Struthio camelus: one gene and its partners. The protein of the gene in region 3 interacts with the protein of the main gene of each other region in a pairwise test. Links are inferred from orthologs where the notes say so. Each region holds a gene or a part of one and is shown on either strand. Other genes may lie near its edges.

Region 1 (7,361 bases), on a different chromosome or scaffold from region 3:
GTCGCCGCCGCCTGACGGTCCCGAAACACCCGGCAACACCCCCAAAACCCCCCCGGAACCGCCCCCGAAACCCCCCCGAACCCCCCGCCCCCCCCTTCCGCCTCCTTCTGCCCCAAATCGCCCCCCGTGTCCCCCGCGGCCCGCTCGGCGCCGCTCACCACCGCCCTGCGCACCGCCGCCGACCGCTGACGGTCCCGAAACACCCGGCAACACCCCCAAAACCCCCCCGGAACCGCCCCCGAACCCCCCCCGAACCCCTCGCCCCCCCCTTCCGCCTCCTTCCGCCCCAAATCGCCCCCCGTGTCCCCCGCGGCCCGCTCGGCGCCGCTCACCACCGCCCTGCGCACCGTCGCCGCCGCCTGACGGTCCCGAAACACCCGGCAACACCCCCAAAACCCCCCCCGAACTGCCCCCGAAACCCCCCCGAACCCCCCGCCCCCCCCTTCCGCCTCCTTCCGCCCCAAATCGCCCCCCGGGTCCCCCGCGGCCCGCTCGGCGCCGCTCACCACCGCCCTGCGCACCGTCGCCGCCGCCTGACGCCCCCAAAACCGCCGGAATCTACCCCAAAACCTCCCCCTGCCCCCTCCCCACGACCCCCCCGGCCCCTAAACCCCCCCTGAACAGCCCATCTGCACCCCCCCACCTGATTTTGGGGCGGGTCTTGCCCTATTTTTGGGGTCCTGAGCTCCCCCCCCCAATTTTGGGGGGTCTCACCCCATTTTGAGTGTCCTGAGCCCCCCCTTAATGCCCCCCCACCCAATTTTGGGGGATCTCACCCAATTTTAGGGGTCCTGAGCCCCCCCCCTTAGGGCTCCACCACCCAACTTTGGGGGGGTCCCGGGGGGGGGGTTCTGCCCAATTTAGGGGTCCTGAACCCCCCACCCCCTTTTGGGGAGGTCTCCCCCAATTTGGGGGGTCCTGAGGCCCCCCTTGAGACCCCCCCACCCAGTTTGGGGGGTTCTCACCCAGTTTTGGGGGTCCCTGCCCAATTTCAGGGTCCTGAGGTCCCACTCGCACCTAGTTTGGGGGGGGGAATCTCACCCAATTTTGGGGGTCCTGAGCCCCCCTTTAAGACCCCCACCACCCAATTTTGGGGTGCTGAACCCCCCTACCCCCTTTTGGGGGGGGATCTCACCCAATTTTGGGGGTCCTGAGCCCCCTTAAGACCCCCCCACCCACTTTTGGGGGGGTCTCACCCAATTTTGGGGGTCCTGGGCCCCCCTTTAAGACCCTCACCACCCAATTTTGGGGGTTCCTGCCCAATTTTGGGGTCCTGAACCCCCCTACCCCCTTTTGGGGGGGATCTCACCCAATTTTGAGGGTCCTGAGCCCCCCCTTAAGACCCCTCCACCTAGTTTGGAGTGATCTCACCTAATTTTGGGGGTCCTGAGCCCCCCTACCCACTTTCGGGGGGATCTCACCCAATTTTGGGGGTCCTGGGCCCCCCTTTAAGACCCCCCCACCCAATTTGGGGGGGTCTCACCCAACTTTGGGGGTCCTGAGCCCCCCCCGTTAAGACCCCCCCACCCAATTTTGGGGGTCCTGAGCCCCCCTATTAGGGCCCCCTACCCACTTTTGGGGGGGTTCTAGGGGAGAGGGGGGCCTTCCACCCCCCCACAATAAAATTGGTGTTGAAAGTGGTTTTTTTCCTGGATTTCGGGGGGTCCCGGTGGCTTTGGAGGGGGGGGGGGCGCCGCTCATTAGCATAGCCCCGCCCCCCGGGCGGGACCGACCAGCGCTCGGTACGACGCTCATTTGCGTAGCCACGCCCTCGGCGACTCAGTGCCGCCGCTCATTTGCATAGCCCCGCCCCCGAGCGGGCCGACCGCGCTGCTCATTAGCGTAGCCACGCCCCGCACGGCTTGTCCGCGGTGCTTATTAGCATAGCCACGCCCCCCCCTCGCCCCGCGGTCACGTGTCCGACGGCGCGGGCTCCCGCGGGGATATTGGCGGCGGGGCGGGGGGGAAGGGAAGCGGCCGGCGCCACGTGGTCCGCCCCCCGCCGCGCTCATTTGCATAGCTCCGCCCCCTCCCAGCCGTGTGGGGTGGTGGTGGCGGTTCAGGTGACCGCGCTGCCGTCACGTGCTCGCTCCCTCCCGCCCATTGGAAGGAAGAGGGAAGGAGGGGGGAGGCCCCGCCCCTTCCCCCGCGCCGCCCTCCCATTGGCCGCGGCGGCGTCACGTGCGCCTCCTCCCCTTCTCCCCCCCCCTCCCCACCACCAGCTTCCCCCGACCCACCAGCCAATCAGAGGCAGCGGCGGGGCGGCTTCGCTTCCGCTTCCGGCGCGCGGCGCGGCCCCTCCCCTCCCCTGGCCGCGGTGCCCTCGCGCCGGCGGCGGCCGTTGCTGCGCCACGAGCGGGGCCGCGCCATGGCGGAGCGCGCGCGCGCCGCGGGGGCCGCGCCCCGGCCGGTACCGGGCGGCGGGGGGAGGGGGCGGTCGGGGGGCGGTTTGGGAGGGGGAGGGGCGGTCGGGGGGCGGTTTGGGAGGGGAAAAGGGCAGTTAGTGTGTGTGGGGGGGGGAGGGGCGGTTACGGAGGGGCCGGGGGCAGTTCTGGGGCGGTTAGTGAGGGGGAGGGGGCGGTTTGGGGGCGGTTTGGGGCGGTTTGTGAGGGAAAAGGGCAACTAGTGAGGGGGAGGGGGCGGTTTGGGGCAGTTAGTGAGGGAAAAGGGCAGTTAGTGAGGGGGAGGGGGCGGTTTGGGGCAGTTTGTGAGGGAAAAGGGCAGCTAGTGAGGGGGAGGGGGCGGTTTGGGGCAGTTTGTGAGGGAAAAGGGCAACTAGTGAGGGGGAGGGGGCGGTTTGGGGCGGTTTGTGAGGGAAAAGGGCAACTAGTGAGGGGGAGGGGGCGGTTTGGGGCAGTTTGTGAGGGAAAAGGGCAGCTAGTGAGGGGGAGGGTTCGGTTTTGGGGCAGTTCTGGGGCAGTTAGTGAGGGGGAGGGGCTGTTTTGGGGCAGTTAGTGAGGGGGAGGGGGCAGTTTGGGGCAGTTTGTGAGGGAAAAGGGCAGTTAGTGAGGGGGAGGGGGCGGTTTGGGGCAGTTAGTGAGGGAAAAGGGCAGCTAGTGAGGGGGAGGGGGCGGTTTGGGGGCGGTTTGGGGCAGTTAGTGAAGGAAAAGGGCAGTCTTGAGGGAAAGGGGCAGTTTTGGGGCAGTTTGTGAGGGAAAAGGGCAACTAGTGAGGGGGAGGGGTCGGTTTTGGGGCAGTTCTGGGGCAGTTAGTGAGGGGGAGGGGGCAGTTTTGGGGCAGTTAGTGAGGGGGAGGGGGCAGTTTGGGGCAGTTAGTGAGGGAAAAGGGCAGTTAGTGAGGGGGAGGGGCTGTTTTGGGGCAGTTTTGGGGCAGTTAGTGAGAGAGGGGCTGTTTTGGGGCAGTTAGTGAGGGGTAAAGGGCAGTTAGTGAGGGGGAGGGGGCAGTTTGGGGGCAGTTAGTGAGGGAAAAGGGCAGTTAGCAGGGGTGGAGGCAGGTTTTGGGGCTGTTTGTGAAGGAAAAGGGGAGTTAGTGAGGGGGAGGGGGCGGTTTGGGCCAGTTTTGGGGCAGTTTGTGAGGAGAAGATGGCAGTTAGTGAGGGGGAGGGGGCGGTTTTGGGGCGGTTTGAGGGGAAAAGGGCAGTTAGTGAGGGGCAGGGGTGGTTTGGGGGGGAGGGGGCGGTTTTGGGGCGGTTTATGAGGGGAAAAGGGTGGTTAGTGAGGGGGAGGGGCGGTTTGGGGGCGGTTTGCGAGGGAAAAGGGCAGTTAGTGAGGGGCGGGGGGCAGTTTGGGGCAGTTAGTGAAGGAAAAGGGCAGTTAGTGAGGGGGAGGGGGCAGTTTTGGGGCAGCTAGCGAGGGAAGAGGGCACTTCCTGGTGGGGCTGGGGCGGTTTTGGGGCAGTTAGTGAGGGAAAAGGGCAGCTAGTGAGGGGGAGGGGGTGGTTTGGGGCAGTTAGTGAGGGAAAAGGGCAATGTGTGAGGGGGAGGGGCTGTTTTGGGGCAGTTAGTGGGGGCGGGGGGCAGTTTCTGAGAGAACAGGGCACTTACTGCTGGGGAGGGGTCGGTTTGGGGGCAGTTAATGCAGGGGAGGGGGTGATTTGGGGCAGTTTTGGGGCAATTTGCGAGAGAAAAGGGCACTTAGTGCGGGGGGGGGGGCGGTTTGGGCCCTGTTGGTGTGGGGGAGGGGGGGGATGCGAGCCGGGGGGGGCGGGGCCGCTCGGGGGCAAGTCGCTCGGGGGCGGGGCCTGGCCGCTTGGGGGCGGGGCTTGGCAGAAGGGCCAGCCCGGACGCCTGGGTCCCAGCTGAGCCCCCCCCCCCCCTCCCGGCCCCGCAGTAGCCCGGCAGAGCCCCCCCCCCGCTCCAGCCCCCCCCCGCCGCCGCCGGCAGCGCCATGGCGGAGGGCTGGGTCGACTGCCCCGCGCTGGGGCCCGGCTGGAAGCGGCGCGAGGCTTTCCGCAAGTCCGGGGCCACCTGCGGCCGCACCGACACCTACTACCAGAGGTAGGAGGGCCCTGCCCGGACGCCTGGGTCCCTCCCCGGACGCTTGGGTCCTGCCCCGCCCCGCCCTCCCCACACCCCGGGGCGGGGGCCCAGGCGTCCGAGGTGCTTCGCAAAGCCGGGAAGGGACCCAGGTGTCCGGGTATCCCCCCCCCCCTCTACCCAGGGTACCAAGCTTGGGGGTGGGGTGGGGCCAGGCCTAGCCCCGCCCCTGGCTCCACCCCCACCCCTGATTTGGGGGAGGGGATCCCCCCCGTGTGCCTGCCTCCTTCCCCCTCTTCCCCCCCCCCAATACACGAAGTTCCGCCCCACTGTTTCAATGGGCTTTCTGCAGTTTTGGGGCTCCCCTGGTGGTTTCAATCCCCCTCAAATCTCTCCTGGTGGTTTCAAGGCCCCCCGCCGGTTTCAGGGTCCCCCAGGCAATTTCACCTCCCCCCAAAGCTCTTAGGGTTCCCCTGGGTTTTTGCCCCCCCCCCCAACCCGATACCTTTTCCATCATTTTTGGGGCTGCCAGGCCCTTTTTCCCCCCTGCAGAGCTTTCCTGGGCGGTTTCGAGCTTTTGTGTTTGGGTGGTTTCAAGAGCCCCTCCCTCAGGTGTTTTGGGGCTCTCCCTGATTTGGGGGGGCTGCCTGTTTTTTGGGGGGTCTCAGGGTTTTGGGGGCACCCCCAGATCCCCCTCATTGCTTCTGGGGCTTCCCAAGCCCTCCAGCCCCCTCCCACCCCAGTTTCTTTTGGTGGTTTTAAGGGTTTTTCTTTCATCTGTGGTTGGTTTCAAGGGCCTCCCTGAGTGTTTTTGGGCTCCCCTTGCTTTGGGGAGGCTCCCGGGGTTTTTGGGGGGCCCCAGGGGGTTTTGGGGCCCCCCTCGGTGTTTTGAGGTCCCCCTTGCTCCCCCACCCCCTCACTTCTGGGACTCCCCAGGCTGTTTCCCACCTTCCCTTAACTTTTCTTGGTGGTTTCAAGGCTTTGTCCTTGTTCCTCCTGGATGGTTTCGAGGCCCCCCCCCCCGGGTGTTTTGGTCTCCCCCAGTTTTGAGGGGCTCCCCGGATTTTGGGGAAGGGCAGGGGTTTTTGGGGACCCCTTCAACATCCCCCCCCCCCAGCACTTGGGGCTCCCCAGGCTGTTCCCTTCCCAACCTTGGCGGTTTCAAGGTTCCCCTTCGAGAGGTTTCAAGGCTGCCCCCCCCCGGGTTTGGGGGCTCCCTGGGTATGGAGGGAGCAAAGGGGGGATTGGGGGGGCCCCCGCGTTTTGGGCCCCCCCCCCCCGTGCTGACGTGCCGGCCGCAGCCCCACAGGGGAGAAGTTTCGCAGCAAGATCGAGCTGAGCCGGTTCCTGGGGCCGGGCCGGGACCTCGGCAACTTTGACTTCAAGCACGGCCTGGAGCGCCCCGGCGCTGTCAAGGTGCGCCCCCGAAACCCGGGGAGGGGGGGGGGACACCCCCGAAACGTGGGGGGGGGGCACCCAGGAGAGGGGAAGGGGGGGCCCCACAGCCGGCGGGGGAGGCTGCGGTGCGCAGAGGGGCAAAATGGGGGTGGGGGGAAGTGGGCACCCTGAGGGGTTGGGGGGGGTTATCTGGGTGCTGGGGGTGGGGCTGGAGCGCCCTGGGGTGTTGGGGGGGGGGACTGGCCCCAAAATGGGGGCTGGTCCCAAAAAATTGGGGGGGGGGCAAAATAGGGGGATCCCAAATGGGAGCTGGGAGGGGGCTGAAATTGGAGAGAGCCCAAAATGGGGGGTGTGGGGGGGTCACTAAAATGGAGGGGGGTCGTAAATGGGGGCTGAGGGGGTCTCCCAAAATGGGGGGGCTGCCAAAATGGGGGCTGGGGGTGCCCCAAAATGGAGGGAGGTGGTCCCAAAATGGGGGGGCCTCAAATTTGGGGGCTGGGGGGGGTGGGTTAAGATGGGCGGGGCCAACTGGAGGGGTCCCCAAACTTGCCCTGCCCCCCCCCCGTTAACCCTTCTCTTCCCCCCCCCCCCCCAGGCCAGGAAGGGCCCCAAGTGGCGCCCGCCCCCGGCGCCCCCCCTGGCGCCGGCGGAGGAGGGGCCGGCGGGGGAGGGGGGCGCCCCGGCCCCCCCGCCCCTGCCGCCCCCCCCTGCCGCGGCGGCAGCAGCCGGGCCGCCGCCCCCCTCCCCCTCGCCCGCCGGCGCCCCCCTGCTGCTGCTGCCCCCCTCCCCCGCCCCGGCCGCCGCCCCCCCGCCCCCCTCCCCTCCCCCCCCGCCGCCCCCCGCCCTCCCCCGGCGCACCCGCAAGCGGCCCCCCCCGGAGCCCCCCCAGGACCGCGTGGTGGCGTGAGTGCGGGGACGCCGGGGCCCCTGGGGGGAGGGGGGTGGGGCTTTGCGGGGGGGGGGGCGGCGCTCTCGGACGCCTGCGGGGAGGGGGGAGGGGGTCCCGGACGCCTCGGTGCTTGGTGGGGGGCATCCCGGACGCCTGGGCCCCTTCTTTGGGGGGACACCTGAGTCACTGCGGGGGGCGGGGGTGTCCCGGACGCCTGGGCCCCTGGTGGGGAGGGGGGGGGGGATCCCAGACCCCTGGGGCCAGGTCCCGGACGCCTGGGCCCCTGGTGGGGAGGGGGGGGGATCCCAGACCCCTGGGGCCAGGTCCCGGACGCCTGGGCCCCTGGTGGGGGGGGGGGGGGATCCCAGACCCCTGGGGCCAGGTCCCGGACGCCTGGGCCCCTGGTGGGGAGGGGGGGGGGATCCCAGACCCCTGGGGCCAGGTCCCGGACGCCTGGGCCCCTGGTGGGGAGGGGGGGGGATCCCAGACCCCTGGGGCCAGGTCCCGGACGCCTGGGCCCCTGGTGGGGAGGGGGGGGGGATCCCAGACCCCTGGGGCCAGGTCCCGGATGCCTGGGCCCCTGGTGGGGAGGGGGGGCGGATCCCAGACCCCTGGGGCCAGGTCCCGGACGCCTGGGCC
Region 2 (7,137 bases), on a different chromosome or scaffold from region 3:
CACTGTTGTTTAGATTTCATTTTTTCCCTTCAGTTTATTACGTAAGAACAGAGCTACGTAGAGCCAACATGTTGTTCTAATAAGCTTATTAGCCCAACAGAATGAAAGGTAACTACCTACATTTAAAATGAATAGAAGTTATTTAGTGTGCATGTGCAAAAGTAAATGTTTAACCAGTTATAATACTCCTCTCTTAATTCTTTTCCAAGCTTATTGCTTTCTATTACTCTTCGGAAAGTAGCTGCATACAGACTTCACAGTTCAATCATGTTGGAGCCACTTATGCACAGATTTAATTTTTTTAAAAAAATTTACACATATTCATAGACAATGTGTTTTAAAAGTAGCTGGACTTTATTTAAAAATTCAGAAAAATCATTTCTGAGCTGGGACTAATCATAGAAGACTTAATTCCTCAAGGAAACTGTTCTGGGAAAGTTATAAGCTGTCAGGACAGGAATTTATAATGGAAGCTAGCTTGCAGTCTTGGGCTCTCATCCCAAAAATGTTTATATACACATAATTTTCAGCATATGAGTATCTCATTAAACACACACATAAGGTCTCAGTGTTGCAACATGTTCCATGTAGACAGATCACGATGTGATGCTCTGTGATGCTTTGCTGAAGTCTGTGGGGGGGTTACATGAAGACACCCTCCTGTAGGGAGCTCCTGATAGGTTCAGCTGGTAGGGTATTCAGGCTGTTTTGTCTTGCACTGGCCCAGGCATACCAGGAAGTTAGTTGTGTTAGAAGATCCGATCAATTATCAGATTAAAAAAAAATATACTGTTATGTTCTCAAAAAAAGGCAAAATCTTGATTAACTGTGTGTTAATCGTTTCCTAGTGTTATGCACTGCCTGTATATAGACAGGGAGCTAGAGCTGTGAAAGGACCAAGGGTTGCAAATCTTCCTAGAGACCCAAGTGAACGTCTGCATTCCACATATAAAAGAAATTAGGCTGCAAAAGGTGTGATTTTCAAAGCCACTCCTGGCCTCACACTAAATGGAGAACTAGATGAGCTAGTTAACAGGAAAAGGCAAGATGGAGGGCTGATATTCAGATCTCCTGTTTCAGGAACAGGCAACAAAAGCCCCAGCTCCACGCGACCTTGAATCTCCCTCTTCACAAAATGGAGCCAGAAAAACAGCTTTTCCAGAATCTCAGTAATTAAACCCCACACACCGAATATGGGAGCCTCAAATCTCCTTTCTGCCTGGAGGAACTTGAATCTACATCTCCCAGAAGAACTCTCTAATGACTCAGCTATATGATATAATAGGTTGGATTCTCACAACGTCTCCCCTTGGAGCTCTACCACTCCTCATGACATACTTAAATATTCACTGCAGTAAACACCAAACTCAGCTCCTTCTCCCCTTGTCCTGTTGCCTGTCTTAATCAGCAGGTTTCATAACCAGGCTATAGAATTAGTCTGAGCCAGCCTCCCTCAAGTCCTGTGAACATTTAATTGTTCTAAGCAAACTGGAACAATTTCAAAGGAGTGATTGAGACATCTTCACGAAAGTCTATAGCTGGAGATTAGGATGCGCTGCTTGAAGATGGGAAATACGAACCTCTGCCCTCCTGATAGTGATGAACATCCTACTCACCAGATCACTGAGAAAACGGGGAGAGGGCATGAACCTTTTTCTGTCTTTCTAGGAGAGCAGGACGTGCCATTTAGTGAGCTGTGAAAACGCTCCTAGAGAGCGTCCTGCAGGCAAGAGAGGTGGAGCAATGCGAACAGCACGAATTGCAGTCAGGTTTGTGTGGCAACAAGATACCGACCCTCTCGGCACTCATCACCCTTGGGCCGCTCTGTTAAGTTAAATTTAACAGACATGTAGACGCTTAGGAAAATCCCTCGGCAAACACGGAGACATCTAGTGTCTAAGATGGTAGCCAAGGAAGGATCAGGAGAATCTAAATTTTGGACAGGGAGCAGCTACAGCAGCAGGTAGCCACCAACGTGGCAGGGAAGTGGCCGAGGGGCGCGTCGAGCCTCGCTGCTGCACTCCGCGGCGGGCCACGAGGTCCTTCCTCCCTCACGAGACGCCGGCGCAGGAACGGCGAGAGGCAAGACTGATGGGCTTCCCCTTGTCGCACAATTTTAAGAACAGCCGTCAACGGCAGCGTTCCTGAAACCGGGGCTCGGCTTCCGACGCGCCCACACGGGAAGCGCCTCCACGTCCGCGCCGCCCCGGGCGGAAGGGCCTCGCGCCGGGCCGCTGCGCTCGCACCTCGGCGGCGCTGCCCGCGGTGACGCGCGGTTTTCGACGCTCGCGGCAGCCGCGGTGCCCCGGGCAACGTCCCCCAGAGACGGCTGCCGCCTGCGACACTGCACCCACCCGGGGGGGAGCCCCGCCGCCGGGCCAGGGCCGGGGCCGGGCGGCCATTTCGGGGCACGAGGGGACTCAGCCCGAGGCGGCACAAAGGGAAGCGCAGCCCCCGGGCGGGCGCCTCAGGTTTCCCCCATTCACGGGGCGGGGAAGGAGAAGGAAGAGGAGAAGCGGGGGGGGGCGGGAATATTCTGGACCGAGAGATGGGAGGAGGACGGAGGTGATGAATAACTTGAATAAATCTGCAGCGCAGCGGCGGAGATGGGGGAAGGGAGGCAGCGGCGGGTCATGTGAGGCAGAGTCATGCTGCGGCCCCGCGGAGGGAGAGGCACCCGGGGCCGGGGGCGCCCGCCCTCTCGCCCCCTCCCCAGGCCGGGAGAAGGAAGGAAGGAGGGGCACCCTGCCACCGCCCCCCTCCTCTTCCCTGCCCCCCTCCGCCGGGCTCGGCGCCGCTCGGCAATTTCCGCCGCTCGAGCCGAGCCTATTTCCGCCGGCTGGGGCCAGACGGGCTTTATGTCTGCCGGCGGGGCGCGCATGCGCGGCCGCCGCCATCTTACGTTGTCTGTCGCCTGCCCTCCCCTTTGGCGAGCTTTCCCCTCCCCGCTGCGGCCGCGCGCAGCGGCGCCCTCCTCCTCCTCCCGCGCCGTGCGAGGAGACGGGGCCGGGCCGGCGAGAGACCCGCTGTGGCAGGGAAGCCGGGAGAGAGACGCGGAGCGGGGAGGAGGAGGAGGAGGGGGGAGAGAAAGAAAAGGGCAGACGCACATTTGGGCGGAGGACTAATTCCCGGCGCGGTGCTGCGGAGGAAGAGCCGGTGCCGCCTGTTATAAAGGGGGAGGCGGCGGCGGCGGCTGGGGGGGGGGGGGGGGGAAGGAAGAGCGTGTGGAGCGGAGCCTCCTCCAGGGACAGCCAGACACAGAGGGAGGAGAGCGCGGCCGCCCGCCCGCCTGGCTGGTTGGCGTCCCCCTCCTTCCTGCCTCCTTGCCTTTCATGGACTCTCTCGTTGAGCCGCCGCGGCTTTTCTTCCCTCCTCATCCCGTCTCGCGAATACCCAAAATGATTCAGCTCCATGGCTGCCACTGACGGGGATGTCCCTGCCCGGCTCAGCCTGCTGCTGCCGCCCTGCCGTGTGCCGGTCCTGTACGTATCTGCGCCCTCCTTACTGCTGCTGCTGCTACTAGGGGCATGGCGGGGGGCGCCGCGGGGCCGAGCCTCTCCGCGGGGAGCGGAGGGGGGAAGGGGCTCGGCCCCGGGGCTGCCCGGCCAACGCGGGCATTTCCTCCGCCTGCTGCCCACCCCCGGGAGAGGAGCGGGGCTGCTGGTGGTGGGGGGGGGGGTTGTAATGGAAAAGGGGTGTGGGGTGGGGGAAGAGAAAGTGAATGGCGAAGGATTGGAAGTGTCACATTCAGAGAGGCGGCGGAGGACCGGTGCTCGCCCCCTCCCTGTCTCGGGGGGGGGGGGGAAGGGGAGGCGGGGGGGGTGGTTGGCAGTGCCGAGCCGTCTCAGCCCGTGTGTGCTGGAGCCGGGGCGGGGGGGGGGGGTTGTGTGTGGTGTCTCGCTGCCCTGCCGTGAACGCCGAGCTAACTGTGCGTGTGTGTGTGTGTGTCTGTGTGTGTGTGTGTGTCTGTGTGTGTCTCTGTCTCTCTCCATACCGGGGGATTGCACGCTTTAAATACACCCGATACAATGCACCAGCCTGACTCAGCCGCAGACATTAGTGCTAGGAAGATGGCGCACCCGGCAATGTTTCCTAGAAGGGGCAGCAGCAGTAGCAGCGGCAGCAGCTGCGTTACTGCTCCCACTGCGCCAGGTACCGGTGTTGGGAGCGCTGCCCTCGCCGCCGAGGATTATCAGCCGCCTTTGCTGGTCCAGCCGCTGCCTCCGTCCCCTGCAGCATCTTCATCGGCGGGTCCACAGCCGACACCCCCTCCTCCACAAAGCCTGAACCTCCTCTCGCAATCTCAGCTCCAGCCGCAGCCTCTTGCACAGACTGGAGCTCAAATGAAAAAGAAAAGTGGCTTCCAAATTACCAGTGTGACCCCTGCTCAAATATCAGCCAGTATGAGTTCTAATAACAGCATAGCTGAAGATACGGAAAGCTACGATGACCTGGATGAGTCCCACACTGAAGACCTGTCGTCTTCAGAAATCCTGGATGTTTCTTTATCCAGGGCCACTGACTTGGGAGAACCGGAGCGGAGCTCCTCTGAAGAGACTTTAAATAACTTCCAGGAGGCAGAGACTCCTGGGGCTGTTTCTCCAAACCAGCCTCATCTTCCTCAGCAGCACCCTCCTCTGCCACATCACCCACAGCAGAGCGTTGTGATCAATGGAAACGTTCACCCCCATCACGTTCACCATCACCACCATCTTCACCACCACCATCACGGACACCATCATCCATCGCATCCTGGGGTGGGCAGTACACCACTTTCTGGAGGACCACCACCTAGTCCATCATTTAGAAAACTCTCAACAACTGGAAGCTCTGACAATGTTATATCAACTGCACCAGTTTCTGCTGCATCATCCACTGGTTCCCCTGCATCTGTCATGTCTAATATCCGCACTACAAGTACTCCTGGCAATTTAGGTGTAAGTCCTGCTACCGGAACTAGTCCCTTAAGTAATTTGGGTGGTGGTAGTTCTAGTGTGGCAAGCAGCATGCTTGGTACTATAAATTTAAGTAACATCCCAAGTACTGGTAACGTAAATGCTTTGTCTGGAACTAGCAGCAATGTTAGTGTGAATATCTTGAGTGGTGTTGGCAATGGTACGAGTGCTTCCTCTAATGTCGTTAACAATGTTACTAATCCAGCTGCAGGAATGGCAGTGGGATCAAGCCAGCAGCAGCCCGCAGCTGGCACATCGAGGTTTAGAGTTGTAAAATTAGATTCTAGTTCTGAACCTTTCAAAAAAGGTAGATGGACATGCACTGAATTCTATGATAAAGAAAACACTGTTGCAGTTACAGAAGGAGTAGCAGTAAACAAAGCAGTAGAGACGATAAAACAAAACCCGCTTGAAGTGACTTCTGAAAGGGAGAGCACCAGTGGGAGTTCTGTTAGCAGCAATGTAAGCACACTGAGTCACTATACAGAAAGTGTGGGAAGTGGAGAAATGGGAGCACCTACTGTGGTACAGCAGCAAGCATTTCAAGGTGTGGGTCCGCAGCAGATGGATTTTAGCAGTGCTGCTCCTCCGGCAATTCCAGCATCTAGTATACCACAGAGTGTTTCTCAATCGCAGCTTGCACAAGTACAGCTGCATTCTCAAGAAGTCAGCTATCCACAGCAGAAGCAAGGGGTCCCACCTCCTGCACAGGCCAGTCTAACCACTGTTACTGGGGTTCAGCCAGCCCCAGTTAATATACTAGGTGTATCCCCGTCTCTGGGCCACCAACAACCTGCCATTCAAAGTATGGCTCAACAGCAGCTCCCGTATTCTCAGCCAACGCAGCCTGGGCAACCTTTGCCAGTTGTACAACAGCAGCAGTTGCAGTATGGACAACAGCAGCAGCAACAAACAGTTCCTACCCAGATGACCGCAGGTCACGTGAAACCAGTAAACCAAAACTCTGTTACGGGGGCTATGCCAGACTACATTCAGCATCAGCAGATCCTTCAGACTCCAGCGCCTGCCATGCAGCCCAGTTCTGCAGGAGTGGGAGCAGGCACACCGGTTCCTGTTGCTCAGGCACCGAGCATGCAGCCTTCCGTACAAGCACATCCTGCTGCTGCTCCAGCTCAGCCTGTTGCACATGCTCCGGCATCAATACCTGGCGTAGGTACCAGTGGCCAAATGCTCGGTGTTGGGCAGCAAGGAGGTGTAGCCACTGTGGTGCAACCACCATCTGCTGCAAACCAAATTCCACCCCCAGTTATGCCGTCAGCAGCTGCTCCTCCATCTTCACAAGTAGTGCAGCCTGTGCAGACAGGCATAATGCAACAGGGATTACAGGCTAGTGCTTCAGGCCTTCCTCAGCAAATGGTCATTGCTCAACAAAACACTTTGTTACCTGTACAGCCACAGGCCCAAGCAGTGGAGTCTGTAGTCCAAGGAATGACCAGCCAGCAGCTGCCCGCCGTTAGCCCTATACCTTCTGCCAGCACTGTTGCTGCACCGAGTCAAGCTAGTTCAGCTGTACCTCCTGGCATACCTTCTGCTTCTATAGGTTTGGGGCAGCCGCAGAGCATAGCACAAGCGTCGGCTGTACAGAATGGGAGTTTGGCTCAAAGTGTTAGTCAGCCTCCATTGATATCAACGAGTATAGGTATGCCAGTAGCACAGAGTATGCCACAGCAGATGCCACTAAGCTCTACCCAGTTCCCTGCACAATCAGTAGCTCCGTCAATTGTAAGCCAAATTGAAGATGGCAGACGTCCTACAGAACCTTCCTTAGTCGGTTTACCTCAAGCTGCCGGTGGTGACAGCGGTGTTGGAGCATCAGCTGTTTCAGACAGCAGTGGTAGCAGCATGCCATCCTCTGCTTCCCTGTTTCCGCTGAAGGTACTGCCATTGACAACACATCTTGTTGATGGTGAGGATGAGAGGTAAGATTGCCTGTAACTGTACTAAAAGATACACGGTACGATAGTTTGAGATGCACTAACTTGCAGCTCTTATTGCAGCTGTTCTGTGAGATGAAGCACTGTGATATTTTTGTCTAATTCGAAATATTGTTTATCAAGCCACAGTGCATGCATATATATGCATGTGTATATGAAGATACTTGTTTTTCTTTTAAGGGGATGGGCTGTATTGATTATCCTCTGGAACTGCTGCGTGGGTAAAT
Region 3 (7,396 bases):
GGGTTATTTCAGATACATACTGATTTCAGTGCAGTTTAGCCAGAAATCTGATAAAGCCTGAAAGATTCAATTTCATTCAGCAAGCATCAGACATCATAGATTTCCAGCTTCCTCCAGGCAGAGGATCACCCCTTTGTTACTGACTTGAGAGAGCAAGAGTTGAAAGGATATTCTGCTTTCTTCTGACAGGCACGCACCAGCTATTCTGCTCAGCAGTTTAAAAACAGGTGGAGGTAAGATTTGTAAAAGTCCCTTTCAAAACACCAAGCCAATTCAAATAAACCTCAAGGAAACATATAGCAAAAAAGACCGAAAAAACAACATAAGCCATTAGGGATAACAAATGCAAGTGAGTCCCACCAGGCCTCCCTCCCTGCCAGAGGAGCTATGAGAGAAACCAGACCCCAGCACCATGTACGCGGATGAGGCATGCGCATGGCCCACGCCAGCCGTTCAAGCTAAGGGAGCAACAACAGGCACAAACATCTTTCTCTCCAACACGCTAGCTCACACACCATCTTCTTCTCTCCCCCAGCACCTCCAGCTCACTTTCCTCTTCCAAAACAACCTGCCGTTCAGCATAGTGCCCCCTTTCCAAGTTTCCCCCATTCAACAATCCCTCCACCACCCCACTTCTCCAAGCCCTTCCCGAGCACCCCAAGCCTCCCCCTGAGCTGGGTCCCTCAGCATCCTTTCCCCACCCCAACTCCCTCATCTGCTCTCCCAGGGCCACCCCATCAAGTCCTCCTGACATCCCTCCCCCACACCTCCTGACACTGTACCCCAAATGACACCCCTTATCCCAGCCCAGCACACCCAAATGGCCCCCCAACCCAGCACTCAGGCCCTGCAGCTCAGCCTAGACCTCTATAATTTCCAGTCCCTAGAGATAACCCCCCTTCACCCCCCTAAAGGCTCCCCTCACCCAACACCCAAGCCCCTTAGCTCAGCCCAGGCCCCTAAACCTCCCAGCCCCCAGAGAACACCCCTTCCTCCTCCCAAAGGCCCCTGACCAAGGCTCCCGTCCCCTCAGCCCTGCTCCCCCAACCCTCCTCACCCAGGCGACACCCTTGGGCCCCCCTAACCACCCGCCGGGACCTGGTCCACCCTAGTCCCCTCGCAACGACCCCTCTGGCCTGGCCCAGCCCCTCTTAACAGCCCCATTAGTCCAGCCCCTGCCAAAGCCCTCGGGCCCACCCAGCCCCTCTCAGTGGCTCTTTCGGCCCCGCACCCCTCAGCAGCGCCCTGCGCGACCCCCTTCGGCCTGGCCTGGCCCTGCCCTTCTACGGCCCGGTCCCCCAGCCCCCCACGCCCCCCTCAGAGCTCCTGAGCCCTGTCGCCCCCGCAGCTTGCTTCCGCGCCCCCCGCAAGCCATCTAGCGCAGCAGCTCCAGCTCACCCGGGTTGGCGGCGGTGGCTGCCATAACCGGGGCGGGCGGGCGGGCGGGCAGACTCCCCCCCCCCCTCCCCTCCTCCCTCCTCACCGCCGCCACTGCCAAGATGGCGGCGCAGGAAAACCCGGGGCGCTGCGGCGCAGCCTAGCCTGCCCGTCCAGAGGGGCGGGGCGGAGACGAGGCGGAGCATCCCCATTGGCCTAGACAGGGCTGAGGGGTGGGAGCAAAGAGGCAGGCAGCACAGCCTCTGCCAGCAGGGTAGGGTGACCCCAGGCATGTCCCGCCCCCTTCGCGGGGCGGGGGCGTGGCCAAAGCGGGGGTGTGTGGAGTGGGGGGGGCCAGTGGGAGACTTAAAGGGCGGTTTCGGTGACGTTCTATGTTGCTTTTTTTTTTTTTTTTTTTTTGTCGGAGGACAGGAACCCTATGGGGATTGGGACTGGGACTGAAAATGGACATGGAATTAGGATTTTGACTAGCATTGGGTTTGGACTCGGGCTGGGGATGGGATTGAGTTTAGGGATGGGGTTTGAATTTGGGATTGGCGGACTGGGACTGGGATTGGGGTCGGGCTGTGGCAGGAAAGTGGTAAAGTGGTTAATTATAGCCAATTTTCATAGCACACGCTGGGCCTGGCCCTCCAGAAGCCCCCGTGAGTGGGGCCGGATGGTGGCAGGGGCCAGCTGGGGTCCCCCCGCCTCTCCCCAGCATGGGAGGGGGTTCCTGGCTGTAAACGGGCTCATTCGGTTCGCTTCCCGGCGCGGCGCCCTCCTCGTGCGCTGCCCTTCGTCCCGCTGGCAGAAACCTGACAAATTATGCAAGGGGGGGGGCCATCGCCTGGCCTGACCCTGCAGAGCCCTTGGGGGGCCACAGGCCCTGAAAGGGTCACCCTTGGCTCCATTGGTGGGTGCTGAGGGTGCTCAGCACCCAGCCGGGACACCTGCCGCCCATGAGCTCTCACCCACAGCGCAAAGGAGCCGCTGGAAAAACTTTCAGCCTGAGCGGGCGATAATTTAATCTGCGAGATCGTTTCTCCTGGTTACTGCGAGTGCCTGAAAGGCGACGCCGCCGTGTTCCTGCAGTATTCATGAACCCCCGGGGATGGTGCCATGGCCCCAAAGCGGCACCGAGCAGGGCAGAGTGGCCAGTCCGTCTGTCCGCCCGCCTGCCAGGAGGTAAGGAACAGCCCCAGATGGCATGTCTGGGGCTGCTAGGGACGGGATCGATGGGTGCTACGGGACTTTGCGGGTCCTATTTCAGCATGTGCCGTCATTGGGGCTGAGCTCATTTGATCCTGGTGCATATGGCACTTTAATACGTATATATAGGCATATACATATATATATCGGCATAGATGTACATGCAGCTCAGGCCGCAGGGCTGTGCCTGACGGCCTTGCCAAGCCTCTACCTCTGCCCCTACCTCGTGCAAATCTGTCTGTCCGCCAGCATCTCTCTTAAGCAACCTGGAGACCCTCCACTGTCGCCACTTTTGGCTTTTCCCAGCCTCCACGGGCACCTGTCGCGTTTCCAATCTGAGCCATCACTTTGCGAAGGTTCAACTGAGCCCTGGCATGCTCAGTGCACCTAATGCTTCCGGGGGTCCTGCTGCTCTGGGGCAAAGTGGCTGTGGAAAAAAAAAAAAAAAAAACCAATAGCGGGGATGTTTTAAAGCTGGGCCAAACCGAGCCGGGTGATGCTGGGGCCGACAGCCCAGGGCCAGGGACTACGCACCTGAGGGCTGCCTGCATGGAGCCTGGCCCAGCCACCAGCCCTCCAGCCCTCGACGTGGACAAGGGCATCACCGTGGCCTTCGTGGTGCTCATGTGCCTCTTCCTGCTGGCCATGGCAGTGCGGTGCGCCCGGCTCGTGGTGGACCCCTACAGCGCCATCCCCACCGCCACCTGGGAGGAGGAACAGGTCAACTGAGCCCCACGGGGCCCGCTGGCACCCTCAGGGCTCCCCAGGGCTCCTGGCACCCCAGAACCCTCCAGCACCTGAGGCAACCCCAACACCTCCATCGCTTCACGGCCCCCCAGCACTCCCCAGTCACCCCAGGGCTCCTGGCACCCCAGGACCCTCCAGCACCTGAGGCAACCCCAACACCTCCATCGCTTCACGGCCCCCCAGCACTCCCCAGTCACCCCAGGGCTCCTGGCACCCCAGGACCCTCCAGCACCTGAGGCAACCCCAACACCTCCATCGCTTCACGGCCCCCCAGCACTCCCCAGTCACCCCAGGGCTCCTGGCACCCCAGGACCCTCCAGCACCTGAGGCAACCCCAACACCTCCATCGCTTCACGGCCCCCCCAGCACTCCCCAGTCACCCCGGGGCTCCTGGCACCCCAGGACCCTCCAGCACCTGAGGCAACCCCAACACCTCCATCGCTTCACGGCCCCCCAGCACTCCCCAGTCACCCCAGGGCTCCTGGCACCCCAGGACCCTCCAGCACCTGAGGCAACCCCAACACCTCCATCGCTTCACGGCCCCCCCAGCACTCCCCAGTCACCCCGGGGCTCCTGGCACCCCAGGACCCTCCAGCACCTGAGGCAACCCCAACACCTCCATCGCTTCACGGCCCCCCCAGCACTCCCCAGTCACCCCAGGGCCACCCGTTACCCACAGGACCCCCCAGCACTCCCCATCACCCCAGGGCCCCCTCCTTATACCCAGGACCCCTTACTGCCCCCAGCACCCTCCATCTCCCCAGGGCCCCCCCATTACCCCCGGGATCCCCTATTGCCCCAGGACCCTCCATCTCTCCAGCACCCCAGGGCTCGGGCTCCAGCAGGGGGGCGCTACCCCTTTAAAAGCGCCCTGCTTCTTTGCGCATGCGCTCTGGCCTGCCCGCAAGTCCCGGGCTGGCGAGCGGCGGTCCGCCTCATGCGCATGCGCACTATCGTGTCTCTGCGCCGTGCCGGCCAGAGGGGGAGAATTGGGCTCCTTGGGCTGCCGTTACCGGAAGTGACGCCAGTGACTTCCGGCTCCCCCCCCCACCGCCTGCTCTCTAGTAATCGGGGTCGCGGCCGGCCCCGGGCCTTAGGGGTGAGGTGAGTGTGGCTGGCCCGGGGGGGGTGGGCCTGGGAGCGAGGAGGGGCTGTGAGGCGGGGGGCATCGGGGAGAGGGGGTCTAGGGGTGAGGAGGGGGCTGTGGGGCGGGGGGCATCAGGATGAGGTCTGTTGTGGGGCTGTTGGGGGCAAGGAAGGGGCTGTGGGGCAGGTAGTGCTGGAGTGGGGTTTGTGAGGCGATATTGGGAGTAAAGGGGCGCTATGGGGCAGGGGGAATCTGGGTGGGGGGTCCTAGGGGTGGTGATGGGGTTATTGGGGGCAAGGCGGGAGCTGTGGGGCAGAGGGTATTGATGTGGGAGGGATATTGGGGGTAAGGAGGCTGTAGGACTTGGGCTGTTGGGATAAAGGTTACTGGTGGTGCTGGTGCTTTTGGAGGCAAGGAGGGGGCTGTGGGGCAGGGGTTATTGGCATAGGGGATGTTGGGAGGTTGTGAGGGGATACAGAGGGTAATGGGGGCTGTGGGGCAGGGGAAATCTGACTGAGAGGTGCTGAGGCTGTGGAGGGATGTTGGGGTCGAGGAGATGGCTGTAGGGCAGGGGGTATTGGAGTGAGGGTATTATGGGACTGGGGGGGATATTGAGTGGTAAGGAAAGGGCTGTGGGACAGGAGGATATTGGTGTGAGAGGTGGCGTGGGACTGAGAAGATGTTTGGAGTGAGGAGAGGGTTTGAGAGGCAGTGGAACAAGAGATGGAGAGTACTGGGTGGGGGCGTAGGGGGTCTGTGGGGTAGGGGGTATCAACGGCTGGGAGTTGATAGGTGGTTGTGGGCATAGGGGAGCTGTGGGGTGAGAGAGTGTTAGGGTGAGGGCTGTGAGGCAGGATGTGTTGGCAGCTGAGGGACTGATGGAGGCTTGGGGCGGAGGAGGGCTGTGGAGGTATTGGGATGGGGGGCTGTGGGGAGGAGGAGCAGGGTATTGGGATGGGGTGCAGCTGGGGGCTGTTGGGCAGGGAGCTAGCTATGAGGAGGGCACTGGGGTGAAGATGGGGCCAGTGAGGGGGGTTGGGGAAATGGGGGGCTGTGGGGAAATTGGAGGTTTTTGGGGTGGTGGGAGTGGAGCTGGGAGGTGTGGGGGGTGGGGGAGAGGTATATGGGGCTTGCATCTGGGGATGGCCTGGGAGCAGCTGGGAGAGAAATGCTGTGGGGGAGAGAAATCTGGATGGGGCTGGAGCAGGGCAATGGGAGAGAGGGGGGAGGCCTGGGATGGGAGGTGGCATGGGGGAGCAGGAGAGTGAGGGAGGCTGGAGATAAGTATTTGCTTGGATGCAGACAGGGAGAGTGCAGGGAGAGATGAGAGAGGGGCTGCTGGCAGGAGAGCGGACTTGAATATAGAGGAGACTGCTCGCTTTATCGCCAGGCACAGAGCGAAGGGGGCCACAGGCTGCACACCTGGAGAGGGGAAGCCGCTGGGGCCCTCCCTGGGGCTGGGGATGGATGTTATAATGCTCTTTACATACCCTAGGAAGGAGAGGGATGGAGCTGTTCTGGGCTGCTGCTTGAAGGCGAAGCTGTAGCACAGACTGGGAGAGGTGTCTGCTTGGTTTTTCCAGGCCAGGCAGAGGTGTCCGAGAGTTGGGAACGCTTCGCAGGTGTTGTGGAGAAGAGGGTTAGCGTAAGGGTCTGGTATTCAGCAGGATCCATGCAGGGATCAGAGAAAATACTTTCTGCTTGTCCTAGGAGCCTTCAGCTCCGTGGGTCATTTGCACTTTGGTTATTTTTGGCTCTCTGTAATGCTGTCTTAACAGAATATATAACATAATCTTCCAGATCAGCTCTTAAAAGTGGAGGCTGTGATAGAGCCATAGAATCTTGCTGGGCTTTTCTCAGCTCCTTGTGGCTTCAGGTGCAGCAGAAATGGATTCCCAGGAGATCAAAGAGCTACAACAAGAAGTTATGGAGGAGCTAGGTATCTCCATGGAGGAGCTCCAGGACATCATTGACGAAGAGCTGGAGAAGTTTGAGTGTGTGAAGCAGAGGAAGCAGCAGCTGGAGGAGCTGGAGAAGTGCGTGAAGCAGAAGGAAGAGGAGGTGGCTCACGTCGACCGGCTCTTTGATGATGCTTCAAGGTGGGCGCACTTGGAATTGTGGCTGTGTGTCCAAGTCAGGCCTTGAAGGAGCAGAGGAGATCAGATGGCAGGGTCCAGTGTTTTGAGCACTGCCTGTTTCCCGTCCGTGTGCACTGATGCTGCAGTTCTTCGTCAGCTCACTTGTATGAGGTTCTTGAGGAACAGTTAAAATTATTCCTCATCCTGTGGCTTCGAATTCTTCGCACAAATACTCTTTCCTCACCTACCAATGGTTATATTTAATTAGCAGGTCTCCAGCAGCACCTGTTTGTTTCTGTGTTATTGTGGGATGTACAGCTGGGTTCACCTTGTCTTTTCCTGTCTCTGCTCCTCTTTTTTTTTTTTTCCCCAGAGCCATTGATAAATGTGAGATATTAGTAAAAGATCTGTACTCCAAGCTGGGCCTCCAGTATCGTGAGAGCAGTTCTGAGGACGAGGACTTGGCTGCTAAGGCCACAGAAGTGATCGAGATCCCAGATGAGGACGATGATGATGTCATGAGCATTGACTCGGGCTGGAAGCACAGTTCAGTATCCCGTTATGCTGCGTGGTGCTGAGGGGAGGGATGGACATACGAGCGTGTCCTGGAGGAGGAAGGGAATGAGTAGGGATCAGGGTGAAGATGTTGTAAAGTAGCCCATAAGCACTGTTGGTCCTTAAGCACAAGAGGATCAGAGAGGAAATGCCCTTGGCTTGTGCGAGGAACATCACCTCTTGCGTGGTCTGTCTGGGCCTGTAACTATTCCATGGCTCTTGAGTTAAGGTTTGTTCAGGTGCCGAGCTGGGACCTTTCCCTTTTTCTGTCTGCCTGATCGTTGTCCCGTCAAATGCTGCTTTTGCTCTGGGGAAGCTGCCTGTATGGCAGATCATGCAC

The links.
Region 1: the proteins of SETDB1 (region 3) and methyl-CpG-binding domain protein 1-like interact in binary tests that used the Homo sapiens proteins (3 or more experiments, as listed by UniProt). The link is inferred for Struthio camelus from reciprocal best matches to the Homo sapiens genes SETDB1 and MBD1.
Region 2: the proteins of SETDB1 (region 3) and TSC22D1 interact in a two-hybrid assay, tested with the Homo sapiens proteins (2 studies listed by BioGRID and IntAct). The link is inferred for Struthio camelus from reciprocal best matches to the Homo sapiens genes SETDB1 and TSC22D1.

Annotation. Positions count from the first base shown.
Region 1 is NC_090979.1:628,785-636,145, reverse strand, and holds the start of methyl-CpG-binding domain protein 1-like, read left to right. Parts: upstream 1-4,289; 5' UTR 4,290-4,346; coding exon 4,347-4,456; intron 4,457-5,736; coding exon 5,737-5,851; intron 5,852-6,428; coding exon 6,429-6,551; intron 6,552-6,662; coding exon 6,663-6,736; intron 6,737-7,361. UniProt on the Homo sapiens protein: Transcriptional repressor that binds CpG islands in promoters where the DNA is methylated at position 5 of cytosine within CpG dinucleotides. Binding is abolished by the presence of 7-mG that is produced by DNA damage by methylmethanesulfonate (MMS).
Region 2 is NC_090942.1:190,717,510-190,724,646, reverse strand, and holds the start of TSC22D1 (TSC22 domain family protein 1), read left to right. Parts: upstream 1-4,028; coding exon 4,029-6,895; intron 6,896-7,137. UniProt on the Homo sapiens protein: Transcriptional repressor. Acts on the C-type natriuretic peptide (CNP) promoter. Acts to promote CASP3-mediated apoptosis.
Region 3 is NC_090971.1:2,523,177-2,530,572, reverse strand, and holds the start of SETDB1 (histone-lysine N-methyltransferase SETDB1), read left to right. Parts: upstream 1-4,310; 5' UTR 4,311-4,440; intron 4,441-6,223; exon of another isoform or gene 6,224-6,299; 5' UTR 6,300-6,310; coding exon 6,311-6,522; intron 6,523-6,874; coding exon 6,875-7,047; intron 7,048-7,396. Other genes in the region: ARNT (aryl hydrocarbon receptor nuclear translocator), read right to left, coding at 516-609. UniProt on the Homo sapiens protein: Histone methyltransferase that specifically trimethylates 'Lys-9' of histone H3. H3 'Lys-9' trimethylation represents a specific tag for epigenetic transcriptional repression by recruiting HP1 (CBX1, CBX3 and/or CBX5) proteins to methylated histones.